Regions from separate parts of the Mus musculus genome. Here regions 1, 2 and 3 are each reported to be linked to region 4. The links are microRNA targets in miRTarBase. Many come from high-throughput screens and were not tested one by one. Region 4 holds a microRNA gene; each other region holds the end of a gene's coding sequence.

Evidence for each region. Region 4 holds the annotated microRNA mmu-miR-129-2-3p (AAGCCCUUACCCCAAAAAGCAU, at 1,769-1,790, shown strand). A microRNA usually pairs through its seed, bases 2 to 8, with sites in the 3' UTR of a target mRNA and lowers its output. Matches are read on the target gene's strand: a 7mer-m8 pairs with bases 2 to 8, a 7mer-A1 pairs with bases 2 to 7 and ends in A, and an 8mer does both.
Region 1: miRTarBase lists Cd3eap as a target of mmu-miR-129-2-3p. Seed matches in the 3' UTR shown: 7mer-A1 at 2,341-2,347.
Region 2: the mRNA of Inip is a reported target of mmu-miR-129-2-3p. Seed matches in the 3' UTR shown: 7mer-m8 at 1,976-1,982, 7mer-A1 at 2,479-2,485 and 7mer-A1 at 2,891-2,897.
Region 3: the mRNA of Prpf31 is a reported target of mmu-miR-129-2-3p. Seed matches in the 3' UTR shown: 7mer-A1 at 1,220-1,226.

What each region holds. Positions count from the first base shown.
Region 1 is chr7:19,354,555-19,357,554 of GRCm38, forward strand. Cd3eap (CD3E antigen, epsilon polypeptide associated protein) reads right to left here. Exons shown (of 3, transcript NM_145822.2): 3 at 1,453-3,000. The coding sequence ends at 2,427. Ercc1 (excision repair cross-complementing rodent repair deficiency, complementation group 1) reads left to right here. Exons shown (of 10, transcript NM_007948.2): 8 at 547-618; 9 at 739-807; 10 at 1,865-1,970. The coding sequence ends at 1,918. Among named protein-coding and RNA genes, the nearest start is that of Cd3eap, 3.4 kb to the right of the region's middle.
Region 2 is chr4:59,769,349-59,772,709 of GRCm38, reverse strand. Inip (INTS3 and NABP interacting protein) reads left to right here. Exons shown (of 5, transcript NM_001013577.1): 5 at 251-3,068. The coding sequence ends at 346. Among named protein-coding and RNA genes, the nearest start is that of Inip, 13 kb to the left of the region's middle.
Region 3 is chr7:3,640,244-3,643,642 of GRCm38, reverse strand. Prpf31 (pre-mRNA processing factor 31) reads right to left here. Exons shown (of 14, transcript NM_027328.4): 14 at 1,158-2,846. The coding sequence ends at 2,721. It overlaps Gm15927 (a long non-coding RNA gene), which reads left to right. Exons shown (of 6, transcript XR_003946711.1): 3 at 368-469. Among named protein-coding and RNA genes, the nearest start is that of Gm15927, 2.4 kb to the left of the region's middle.
Region 4 is chr2:94,239,767-94,243,165 of GRCm38, reverse strand. Mir129-2 (microRNA 129-2) reads left to right here and starts at 1,713; the gene lies at 1,713-1,802. The region is part of intron 3 of Mir670hg (a long non-coding RNA gene); the gene reads left to right. It overlaps Mir129b (microRNA 129b), which reads right to left and starts at 1,788; the gene lies at 1,724-1,788.

The DNA of each region.
Region 1 (3,000 bases), not on the chromosome of region 4:
AGGGTCTTTTAAGTACAAAACAGACCCTGCCTCCCTTAGCTCTGACCCCCTAGTCTGCCCTCAGCATCTGTGTTCCTGTCATCTCTGCTGGAATCCATGTTTCCCATGCCAGCTCTGAGGCCTCCCCCTCCAGGAAGCCCTCTGTGATCCCCTCAGCTAAGTAGCCCAGAGTGCCATCCTGATCCTGCTGTGACCATAGTACCCAGCACCACTCAGTGGCCACTTTTGGATGTTTTGATATTATTTTGTAAATGAACTAATGCTTTTCGGCAGTAAAGAGGGACTCTACATTTCTATCTTTCTGGGTGTTCTGGGCACTGGGAAGTGGACTTGGGTCCTCTGGAAGGGCTGTGTGTATTTGCAGTCGCTGAGCCATCTCTTTGGCTCCTTTGTTGTTTCTGAAGACAGTATCTCCCCAGGCCCGGTAGGCCTGAGCCTGGCTGTGGACCAGGCTGGCCTCAAACTTGTGAGGCCCCTGCTTTCTAAGCACTCGACTCACAGGCTGCACCCATGCCCAGCTCCCAAGAAAACATCCTCCCCTTGCAGGCCACTGAGTGTCTGACCACCGTGAAATCTGTGAACAAGACCGACAGCCAGACCCTCCTGGCTACATTTGGAGTAAGAGGTCCCCTGGGCATCCCCTCCTGACCACCCCATGGCCCACACCCTGGGGTCCCCTGCAGCTGGGACAGGTAAGGGTTTAGGGCACACTGCCCTGACCTTGAGTCTACCTCTCAGTCCCTGGAACAGCTCTTCACCGCATCAAGGGAGGATCTAGCCTTATGCCCGGGCCTGGGCCCACAGAAGGTAAGAATTTTAGGGGGGGATGCTACAGGGGTTGAGGTATAGGAATGAGCCCCAAATCAATGGACTTTAGACTTTGAAGTTCTATTAAGTGGCTATTGATTTTAGACAGGTCTTAATATATATAGCTCTAGCTGGCCTGGATCTCACTATACACCAGGCTGGGCCTGAACTCACCCTTGCCGCTGGCTTCTGCTAAGATTACAGGCGTAAGCTACCATGCTTGTTTTAAAAGCCTCCATAGGGGCTGGTGAGATGGCTCAGTGGGTAAGAGCACCCGACTGCTCTTCCGAAGGTCAGGAGTTCAAATCCCAGCAACCACATGGTGGCTCACAACCATCCGTAACAAGATCTGACTCCCTCTTCTGGAGTGTCTGAAGACAGCTACAGTGTACTTACATATAATAAATAAATAAATCTTAAAAAAAAAAAAAAAAAAAAAAAAGCCTCCATAACAACCCCCCCCCCCCCCCGGGCCGGGAGTATAGCTCTGATCCCAGCACTGGCTAAACTAAGTGTGGTGAGCATGCTTACAGCAGCCATATAGGGCAGAGGATCAAAGGTTGAGTTCAAAGCCATCCTTGGCCAAACAGCTAGCCAGCCCAGCCCAGCCCAGGATACTTGACCCCATGTATCAAAAGTAAGACATTTTGTTGGTTTGTTTTATTTACTTAATGTAGCTGAGGCTGGCCTTGCACTTCCGATCCTCCTGCCTCAGCTTCCCGAGTGCTGGGATCAAAGGTGTGCACCACCACCGCCCAGCGATGTACTAGTTTTTGTTTTTGTTTTTTGAGACAGGGTTTCTGGGTAGACCAGGCTGGCCTTGAACTCCGAAATCCACCTGCCTTTGCCTCCCGAATGCTGGGATCAAAGGCGTGCGCCACCACGCCCAGCGATGTACTAGTTTTTAGGTCCATTTCCATCCACCTCCGGGCCAGCCTCATGTAGAACCCAGACACCCGAAGCTCCTCAGCCAGGAGAATAAGAGGCAGAACCCCATTCCAAACAGGCGGGCCAGCGACAGCTTTAATGACAGGTTCTCTTCTCCCCTTGCCCCCAGGCCCGCAGGCTCTTTGAAGTACTACACGAACCCTTCCTCAAAGTGCCTCGATGACCTGCTGCCACCTAGGCCCAGTGTCACAATAAAGAATTTTCCATGCCCAGGCTCCAGTGGCTCTGCGTGTTTGCTTGGGGGAGGGGCAGGGAGTGTCTATACAGCTGGTTTCTGACCTCAGCCTGGCGAGTCCCTCCTTCTCCCCTTCCCCAGGGTGTTATTACGGCTCCTGTGCAAGTCTCCTCTGCTGCTTCTCCTGTCCGTGGAAGACATCTCTCATTGGGGAATGGTGTCTTGCACCTCAGTTTCCTGATCCCTCTTTTTCTTCTTGGAGGATCTTTGACTGGCCTTGGGCTCTGGTTCCTCGGATTGTCTTGGGTCAATCACCTTAGACCCGGGCTCCATTGCTTTCTGTCCTCTCTTTTTTCTTTCTTTCTTTTTTTTTTTTTTTTTTTGGTTTTTTGAGACAGGGTTTCTCTGTGTAGCCCTGGCTGTCCTAGAACTCTTTGTAGACCAGGCTGGCCTCGAACTCAGAAATCTGCCTGCCTCTGCCTGCCCAGTGCTGGGATTAAAGGCGTGCGCCTCTCTCTTTTTTCTTGCTGGGTGCTAGAGCCCCCTGGGGCTCAAAGTCATCTGGAAGTGCAGCCTCTGTCTCACCCACCCGCTTTCCCTTTTTCTTCTTTGTCTTCTTGGGGGACACAAGAGCTACTTCAGCCTGGAGCCCATGTTCTGAATGTTCGGTCACCATGAGTACTCCAGGGGGCCCCATCTCTGCCTCCATCCCCAAATTCTGTCTCTTTTCCTTTCTCCTCTTCTTTGTGGGGGACAGGAGGATGGTTTCCTCCTGGGCTTCCACAATGACCTGTGGCTGAGAGTCAGCCACTATACCATCCACTTCCTCTGTCCCATCAGCTTCCTTCTGCCTCTTCCTCTTTTTGGTGGGGAACAGGAAGGTCCCCTCAGGAGGCTCTGTTTGAGCCACAGGTTCTGTGTGCTCCACCTGGGATGTCTCTGTCCCCTTGGACTTCTTCCTCTTCTTGCTGCTGGTGGCAGATGGGACTGGCAGCTCTGCCACGGGCTCCATTGTCTTGGCTTCCATCTCCTCCTGCATGAAATACCTCTTTCTCTTCTTCACACTCACT
Region 2 (3,361 bases), not on the chromosome of region 4:
CTGGTGACCTTTGCTGCTGTTTCTCCCCATGCCAGAGAACAAAGAAAGAGCCCTACAGAGGCAGATAAAGAGGCGCTAAACGCATGCCCCATACCTTGTGTTAATCCGAATTGTGTCCCGGTCAGTCCATGTAAACAAACTAGATCTTAGGAATTCAGAAAGGATAAGGAATTTTAATGCCTTGGTTTAAAAAAAAAGTGACTTTTCATAACTGAGCTGGTTTTGTTTTGTTTTTTTTTATCTTCCTCAGCATGCTCACGCACATTCCTCTGGCTACTTCATAACTCAAGACTCTGCCTTTGGGAATCTGATTCTCCCTGTTTTACCTCGCCTTGACCCCGAATGAAGAAAGCGCCTGCTGCGACAAGGGACCTTGTAATAGCAAATGTCAAAGTTCTCACTCAGCTCTATACAAACTGACTTTCAGAACTTTGGAGAACTTAGCTTTTGTTTCTTTAAAGAAAGGAATGAGTAAGTGAGGGAAAGAGAAGAGGAGCTGGGCGCTGAGACCTCGGGGAGCGGCGGCGAGGACCTGGCTGTGCTGGCCGAGGCGGACTTCTTTGCACTGCCATTGGACTTTCCCTGGGACTCAGGATCGCTTAGTCTCATGAACTCTGCATCACCTTCAACAAGGACTGAATTATCATGTGGGAAGCCCTGGGTTTGACCCCATCACTGCACATACAAGCTCTGAGGATGGCACATGCCTGTGATCTCAGCACTAGAGGAATTGAGGCAGAAGATTGGAAGTTCAAGGCCATCCTTGCCTAGGTAGTGATTTTGAGACCAGTCTAAGGTATATGAGACTGTGCCTCAAAAATAACCAAAATCACCCCAAAAAAGCCATTAATAGTCGTAACTTTAAAGAGACGAGGATGCTTTTTAAAAAAGTGAAGAGCGGGCTTACGTACTTTGTGGTTGCTTGTGCTAAGAAACAAGCTATCTAGAAATAGGCTCTAAGCTAATAACTACTTCTAAGAAAACTCCCCAGTCAGACTCATCTTAAGTCTCTTTCAAATAAATGCTACAGTGGTAGCAAATGAATGATGTGACTAAATACTGTTATGAAAAGCAGCCTAAGAAATGTGGCAGCTGTAAATGGACGTGTACTCTCACTTCATGTTGCTGCAGAAGTGGTGGGCCTGAGTGGTTTTATTTTCTATTTTTTATCTAATTGAAGACTTAAAATTAGGCAAATTAAGGCCTTTTAAACCATTTTACATAGGTTAAACAAGTTGCTCAACAGGGCCAAACTTGAACAAGAACAGAGGTGCTTATTTATATATGTACCTCCCACTACCCTCCCTTTGCCCTATAGAATTAGAGTTTGATTAAAGTGTGAAAAGTATGGCTTAGGGAGTCCTATAATACCTTACACAAAGGTGTCATGATTAAAATTCTATTTTATGAGGGAGTTACTTTGTAAGGATCCTGTCATTTTTCTGTACCCAAGGATTGAACCTAGGACTTTAACAGTTATGGATGTGTTTTACCGAGCCTCATCACCATGGGTAACTGACTGCATCTCCATCCTCTCTGCTGTTGGGGGAATTTAAACATCTTTAGTTGGGGCAATATTCAGTTTTACTCCCTTCTGATAGTTTGCTATAGGTGTTTTCACCAGCCACATACGCCGTCCTGCTCAGTGCAAGTGAAGCAGCAGTGAGCAGTCTTCCTGAGTCATCACACTGCTCCCTGTGTCTGCTGCTGACCCAGGGACCCCCTTGCTCCTGCCCCTCAAAGGGCCATCCAGCTTCCCTCTGCACCTCCTAGTAGTCTTCCTCGTCTTGCATTTCGCTAAGTTCCTGTGCAGTGAGATCTGTGCCTGCCTGCCTGCCTGCCTGCCATGCTTCTGAACCTGCTACTGACGTTAGGCAGAGAGAAGGGTTTCTGCTGTTGAAACCTTGCCTGCTATGTGACTTTGTAATCTAGGTGCTTGTTTTCCCTTCCTGGGTCAGATCAAATACCCGGATGAAAGGGCTGATCTAGATTCACAGTTTGAGGCACAGTCTGTCATGGTCAGGAAGGTCAAGGCAGCAGGAGCTTGAAGCAGTTGGCCACATCTCCTCCACAGTCGAGAATTCGAGAACAAATGGATTCTACTGTGCTGTCTTTATGTAACCAGTATTCTAGCCAGGGAGTGATGCCACTCATCAGTGGGTGGAGCGTCTACCTCAGTTAATACTATCAGTAATTCCCTAAGGCATGCCCAGAGGCTCATCTTGTAGTGGTTCTAGATGTTGTCATGCTGACAGTCCAGTCCCACTAACCAGGAGGACTTTCCAGTGGTCCTCTGCTTCGGGTACGTACCCATTTCTGTGGGTACCTATTAATATCTACTCTGGTATATGCTGTGTTTGAGGGACAAAAAGGTCACAGAGACCTGCATATGGGGAGGTAACATTGTTGAGGATCCCACTCTGGCATTCATGTTGTCGTAAAGTAAGCAGTTATGGCACAAGACAGGCATCTTGGGCTAGGGCTAGAAGTCTGTAGACGATAGAACTGGCAAGGGACTGAAGGGACACCCAGGCAAAGGTCACATTTCCAGCCAAGCCCAGTGTGGTGGATCATGCCTGTAATCCTAGCACTCAGCTAAGGCAGGAGAATCACTATGAATTCAAGGCCAGTCTGGGCTACAGAGTGAGAGCACAACCCTCCCCCAACCCCCAAAGAAGTATGAAAAAGAATGAGTTTTAGGGATGAAACTGCAGTGTTAAAGCTAGCGCTGGACTCGGATGAAGCCTTGAGTGAATCCATTGCTGGGGTCACGGGTGGGTGATGCATGCAGTGGTGGTGCACACTATAATCCCAGCACTCGGGAGGCAGAGGCAGGCGGATTTCTGAGTTTGAGGCCAGCCTGGTCTACAGAGTGAGGTCCAGAGCAGCCAGGGCTACAGAGAAACCCTGTCTCGAAAAACAAAAAATAGGAACAGTACACAACTGACTATTGTACTTATTTAGGCCAATGTTGTTTAAAGTACAAGTCTCAGCCTGTTTGAGCTGAAAAGGCAGCTTGATGGTTTAATGCATTGTATCAGCATTAAATAAACAAACAAACAAAAAAAGAAAACAGTTTACTGCATATGTTAATAGGCACGTTAGTTTCAAAGTGTTCTGTAAGTGTATGTCTGTGTTTAGTTTATATTCTACTCTATACATCTTCAAGGGCAACAAGTTTGGTTTTTCTCCCTCTGGTCCTTCGTTGGTGTGCGCGTCCAGAACAATCCCTGGTATGTTGGGTAGTTATACCTACTGTTGTTGAAGGAGTAAATATAAGAACACACCCAACCTTGGTTGCCACATAAGAATTTCTCTGACTTACCTTTTAAATAGAGTCTCCCACTGAAACTGAAGCTCA
Region 3 (3,399 bases), not on the chromosome of region 4:
CAGGAATCCCTGCCAAATTATTAAGATGCAGCTTCCTTCTTATCTAGGCGGTCCCCAATTCTGCTTTTTCTAACAAGCTCCCAGGATATACTAATGGCCTTAAAAACAGTTATGATTCTCGGGCTGAGCTGCACTTTAGAATCACCGGGGGAGTTGGTGGAGGTAGAATCCAGATACTTAAGACTTATGCTAGAACAATTACATCAACAGCTAGAGTTGGAAACTAGTTATTCTTTCCCTGAAATGATCCATGGAAATTCCTGTTTTTCTTTCCAGTAGAGAGATTTGAAACCAAGGCTTAACATGCTAGGGAGGAAGACTACTATTGAGCTATTTCCAGTCGATTCTTGCCTCTCCTTTTTGACAGATTTCACATAGGACAGGCTGGATTGGACCTAGAGCTTTGCAGCAGAGAATGACCTTGAACTTCAAGTCTTCCTGCTTCCATTTCTCAAGTACTGGATTTCAGGTATGTGCTTACCACCATGTGGCTGCTTCTTCGACCTTTTAAGGAACTGGAAGTCACTGTGTAGACTAGGTTCGCCAGAGAACTCACAGAAATCTGGTCTCTGCCTGGTAACGCTGGGAGTGAGTGAGTGCCACCACACCGCAAAGCCCTTTTAAAATGTTTGAGACATGGCCTTGACACTGCTAGGCAGGCACCCCGGTTTGAACTGTATTGCTGGCCCTTTAAAAACTTTGATTGTGTACGTATAGGTGTTTAGCTTATGCGTGTCTACACCACATGTGCACCTGGTGCCCAAGGAGATAAGAAAAGGATGTCATTCTCTGGGGCTAGAGCTATAGACCATTGTAGGCTGACGTGGGTGCTGGGAATCAAACCCAGGTCCTCTTGAGGAGCAGCCATCTCTTTAGTCAACTCCCCCTAACATTTTGTGTGTGTATATGCATATGAATGTGTGCATATGCATATGAATGTACTGTGTGCAGGTGCACATGCATGTGCTTATGAAGGCCAAGTCAATCTCAGCAGCTCATTTTTTGTTGTTGCTGTTTTTGAGGTTGTTTTGCTTTGTTTTAGATAGGCCACTCATCAGGACCATACATACCTGTGTCCACCTTGTCAGCATTGGAATGGCAAATACATGCTACCAACTCCTTGCCTTTATATGGGTGCCAAGTATTGAACTCATGGTTTTATGCTGTTGTTTTGGCTTTATTTTGGTTTTGGGGTTTTTCAAGACAGGGTTTCTCTGTGTAGCCCTCAATGTCCTGGAACTTACTCTGTACACCAGGCTGTCTTTAGACTCAGAGATCTGCCTGCTTCTGCCTTCCAAGGTTCCCATGTTTTTATGAAATACACTTTACCAACAGTGCTATCTTGCCAGATCTCCCTAGCTTGCTTGCTTGCTTTCTTCCTTCCTTTCTTTTTTGGACACTGGCTTTTTCCTACAGCCTAGGCTGACCTTGAACTCAACTGTGTAGCCTAAGTACTTCCAACCCTTCTGCCTCAAAAGTCTCCTGAGTAAGTAGGATTACAGGCTTAAATACACATTTTTTGAGCTCTATCTTAGCAAAAGTGAAATCAAACTTTACGACCAGCAACCATATCTTAGTGAGTCCTCAAGACATTCTGCAGCATCTTGAATTCCGAGACTCACATCTTCATACTTCACTCCACTCAACACTGGCAAAGTCAGAATGAAGTCAGGCCAGGGACAGAGTAGGGGTTCTAAGGGAAGTGACAGACAAAGGGCTTTCCCCAACAGACCCACGGGGGACTACGATTAAGATACAGTATGTAGAGAGGAATAGAGACCAGGAAGCCCAAGATAGAAAGCCCTAACCTCACCAGCTACATCTACATTTAGACCAACAGAGCTAACCTTAAGCAGAGAAAATGGAGCCCAGCAGCTACTCTCCCTCAGAGAACGACAGACTCATAACAAACCAGACACAGTTCGCACTGTTCAACGTTCTCCCTTGAAGCCCCGGCTCGCAAGTCAGACTGGGTGGTGTGCACTTCTTTTGCTTGCCTGGCATTGGTCCCTCCCACAGGACACCCGCCTGCCTCACCCTTGCTGAGGACCTAGGCTTGGACCCCTCATCAAACATGAATTAAAACAATAGGCTCCACCATGAATGCAGAACTGGGTGGGTGCTTTCTGTACACACTTTCCAAGGCTTTTACGTGCTTCATTTTGTGTGGATGTTTCTTGGACCAAGGTGTCTAGCCTGAGGGACAACAACCCTGTGGGTCTTGTTGGGTCCTGGAGTTTTGTGGTGGCCATGATGCTGATGTTCTCATGGGGCAGGTGATGGTGTTAGAGATAGACAGGGTTTTTCTTAGATTCCAGGATAAGAGCAGAAGAGAGCTGGGTCCATGCTGCTCACACTGGAAGCCCCACAGCTCTGAGTCCTTTGGTTCTTTCATAATCACTCACACCCTCTGTTCAGAGCCCGACACTACACATTTAATTGTACTCGTTCTATAAAAGCACTGCCTTTCCCCCTGTAAGTAAAAAAGCTGAGTGTGAGGAAGACCTTTCTGCCCGTTTAGGGAAGCAGCAGCATGGATGCTGGGGGAGGCAGGCTAAGGTTCTTCATCCTTTTTCTTGGATGCTATGGCCTTGGGCCAAAGGCAAAGCATGGAAGGCTGCCTCCACCACACCACAACTTCCTGGCTGGATATCTGTCACTTCAGAAGCTCCAGTCCTTTATGTCCTTTCAGTGGATGGTCACCTGGAGTGCGGGCTCCTTCAGGTAGACATGGTGCCACTTTTCTCACCCTTGACCTTGAGGAACTCGGCCATGCTAGAGAAATACTTCTGGTTGGCCTCTGCCACCTTCTTCTCGGCTGCTTGTGGGTTCACAATCTCTAGACCCTGGGTTGGAAAGGAAGAGGGTGACAGGTGAAGTTGGGAAGCTCAGGCCTCCCTCTAGATGAGAACCAGACATGTCAGAGTCTCCCAGACACTCTTGTGGACATGGAACCATTTACAGTCCCTGAAGTCTCCCTCAGTTTGGGAGATTTTTGACACAGTGGGTGTTGGGGTAGGTCTTAGATGTCAGGACTGTTAATCTCCTCAGGTGATGTTAAAATCACCACTCCTGCCTGGTTCTGGATAAGGAAACTGAATCCCAGAGGGATATGGCCAGCCAGTTTCCTGCAAATCCCACCCATGACAGTGATGACAATGCTGGCACTATATTGAATATTTCCAATCCTCTTGCTGGGCTTCCCCTAATCCCATCACCGTCCACGCCTGCTTCTTCCTGGCACCTGTGTCTTCTAATACATTGTGTACTAGACTCAATCATCTGTGCTCCCCAACCTTCTCCCCACAAAAGCAAAGCTTGTCTCTTTTGTCTCTATGCCCAAAGCCTGGAACATGGTGGGCAGGTGCTCAGTAGGCACTTGTGGCAAGCTAGGGAGCT
Region 4 (3,399 bases):
GGGTGTGTGCTTGCGTCTTTCCGTAACCGAGCCAAGCGGAGGGGATGCAGTAGGAGGGTGGGTGGGTCACAGAGCTGTAGGAGGGTGATGAATGGGCGGAGTGGGTGGGCCGACAGGAACTTGGGAGACTAAGGCTCCAGGTCCAGAAATGCATTCTGTGGGTATGATAAGCCAAGGGTGTGTGTGTGTGTGTGTGTGTGTGTGTGTGTACGCGCGCGCGCGTACCTGCCTGCAGGTCCATTCTGGGATGGCAAAAAAAAAAAAAAAAAAAAAAAAAAAAAGTGAAAAAGCCAAAACAAAACCCAACTTTTGCCCCCAAGTTCTTGTGATGCTTGTAGTAACCACCCTGACTTAAGTTTTTTTTTTTTTTCACCCCCTACTGGAAGGGAGATAGGCGTTTGTTTAATCACACCCTTTGGCATCCCTGGGGCTAGGCAAGAGGGCACTGGGACTTGGGTGGGCCTGCACATAAAGAAGAGGGCATCCCCCTTAAGTTAGGCTAGATGGAATGGGGGAGGGACTTAAAGGGCAGGGAGGAGGGGGGAGAGGAGAGACTTTGCCCCCTCCTTCCTCTCTAGCTCTCTATTCCCCTCCCTCCTGCAGATGCTGGAATCTCCTGTCACTGTGACAGTCAATGCCCAGCTCACCCTTTCTTGTTCCCTCAATATTTTGCAGAAGGGGGGGGCAACAAGGAAGGGCACCTGAGGCAAATGGGCCATTAGACACCATGATCTGGACAGGTTGGGGGCTCTGGGGGAGGGAGAAACTTCACCCTTCTTAGTGAACATTCAGAACTTTGGGGGGGCAGAGTGGGGTAGGGGGACTCGAAAAGGTCTAATTTTCTAGAAATAGGCCAACTAGAGTGGGATTTGAGCTTGTTTTATGTTCATCTTTGCCAGTCATTTTCCGTCTGGTTCTTCTGGCTTAGGTCCCGATGGAAGAGGTCGCTCTCTTGAATCCCTCTTTCCCAATATACACTGCCACCCCCTCACCTGGGCTAGAATGGGAGGGAGTCATGGACAGCTTTTGGAACAACAATATTTTAATGTGTTCTAGTCTAGGTTTTGTTGAATAATTAGAAATGGAAATATTTTTCTCCCTCCCCCTTCTGGAAAAAAAAAAAAAAAAGAAATGTGAGCTCTCTTCTGATTGGTGGGTGACGATTTTAGTCCACACCAATGAGCTGGCGGCCTTGTCTGTATTTATTTAGTGCTCTGGGGGAGTTTTTCTCTTTACGCAGCGCCTGTAGTCACGGCTGGAACCTCTGCTGGGGGACTAGGGAGGATAGGAGGGGATTCGGGGGAAATCTGGATCGTACCTGCTCAGAGATCCACGACCTTGCAGTCAGGGCTGTCAGAACCCTGATGGGGGAATTGGGTGATAGACTAGATAGGATCGGAGGCTTGGAGTGCTAGGGCGAGAGGGGTGGAGGCAGGGCTCTGGGATCCGGGGTCCCCCTTCGAGCTACCCTTATCGCTCTCCACTACCTCTTCGAGGTTGTGCAAGGCTGAGTCGGGGGATCTGGAGATAGAGAGAGGGATGGGTTTGGGGACGCGAGGAGGGGAGAGCGGCGCGCAGGGTGGGGAGGATGAGCCGCGGTGGAGCGCGCCGGGGAGATCCAGTCTCCTCGGCTTCGGGGTTCGGAGACATGCTGGGCTAAAGGCGGCGGCGACGGCGGCGGCGGTGGCGGCGGACCGAAGAAGCGGGTAGACTGCCTTTCGCGAATCTTTTTGCGGTCTGGGCTTGCTGTACATAACTCAATAGCCGGAAGCCCTTACCCCAAAAAGCATTCGCGGAGGGCGCGCTCGGCGACGTGACTGCAGCTACCAGCGACCGCCGAAGCCAGCACCTTCCCGAAGCGGCTCCATCCGAGACTTCCCCAGTTTTTCTCCCCGTTTTCCACGGAAGAATCAGCTCTTTCCTCCCCGTCCTTTCCGCGCTCCGCGAGGCTTTGATCACTCGCTTTCCCGAGACATGTCCCCCGCCCCCAACTTTTTAGTCGACTTTGTACCACAGGGGGAATTGGAGCGGGTGGCGTGCGTGTGTTTTCGAAGAAGTGAGAAGAAGCTAAAATGTAATAAAAGTTTACAGAAGTTGTGTCGTTCCCCCACACCCCACACCCCAAATATCCCCACTCACAATAAGGGGGGGGGGCATGGCCATAGGGCCAAGTCAGTACCTAGAATATGAATCAGTTTAGGAAATTTTACGGTCATTTTTTTTTTGACCCTAAGGATTGGAATCTAATATGGGGGAGGGGAAGCCCTTGAGGGAGGGGCGGTAGGCCCTAACCATCCTCGGTTAGGATGAGCGGAATCTAGAGGAGGTGAGATGAATCTCCGTGAATCCGGTAGCTCCGAAAAAGAGGGAAAAACACCCAGGCACCGCCCGCTCCCCGGAGCCTTCTTCCTGAACCTGCTTCCAACCTAATTTCAGGCGTGTTGCAGGCTCCAGTACCCACCCATCTCCTCTTTTTCAAAACTAAGTAGCGCAGGAGAGGATGAAACAGGCGGAAACTAGGGAAAACCCCGCGGGGAAGGAGCTTCTGCGAGCTGCAGTTGTTTAGCAGTGGCAGAGGCAGCAGCCCCATGCTGGCCACTCGAGGCTCCTAGACCTGGGAAGGGAGGCAAGCTGCAAAGGGGAGAGCCCGTGGGTCCCCCTCCTCCCCCTCCACTCCTTGCAGTCGTGACCACTTCGGTTACAAGTGGCACAAATCAGGCCTTCAACACGTTTTGTGCCCCGTGCCCTTCGCTAGCTAAGAACACTGCTAGACACCCTTGCCCTTAGGGACTGGGCCAGAAGGACACACAGACACACGCAAATGTCTATGGGGGTGAAAAGCAGTTAGAGGATGTATCTAGGGATGTGATAGCCCAACACCCCGGGGCTGCAAAGCTTCCCATTTTCGGGGAGGGCCTGAATTTCCCCCCGCATCCCAACCTTTCTGCTTTCAACAAACTCTCTGACTCATTTTGGGGGTCCCATAGTTAACCACCTAAGCTCTACTCTCTCTACCCCCTCCTGAAAGAAAAGAAAGGCTAGCAGATGCTGAGAATGCTGGACAGAGGCAGCCGGTGCTAGCTCAGTACGTAAGAAGGCACAGAATGCGAGAACTCCAGACTCCACAGCTAAATCAGGGTCCTTCTCCCCTGATAAAGGATATTTTTTTCCTCCGAATGTATTTTCTGAAAGAGTAAAAGGGTCTCAAAGATTTGAACATGCTATGGAGAGGGAGCAAAAGCTGTGGGGGGATTTTCTTCCTGCCTCTCACCTGGGGCCGTCTGTGGAGCGATAGCTCTGCAGAGGGAGAGGCAGAAAAGCCACGTTAGATTAAAAATAGCTTCGCACTGTGTCCCTTCACCTACTCTTCTGTCTTTTTCTTACTGTATCCCACCTCCT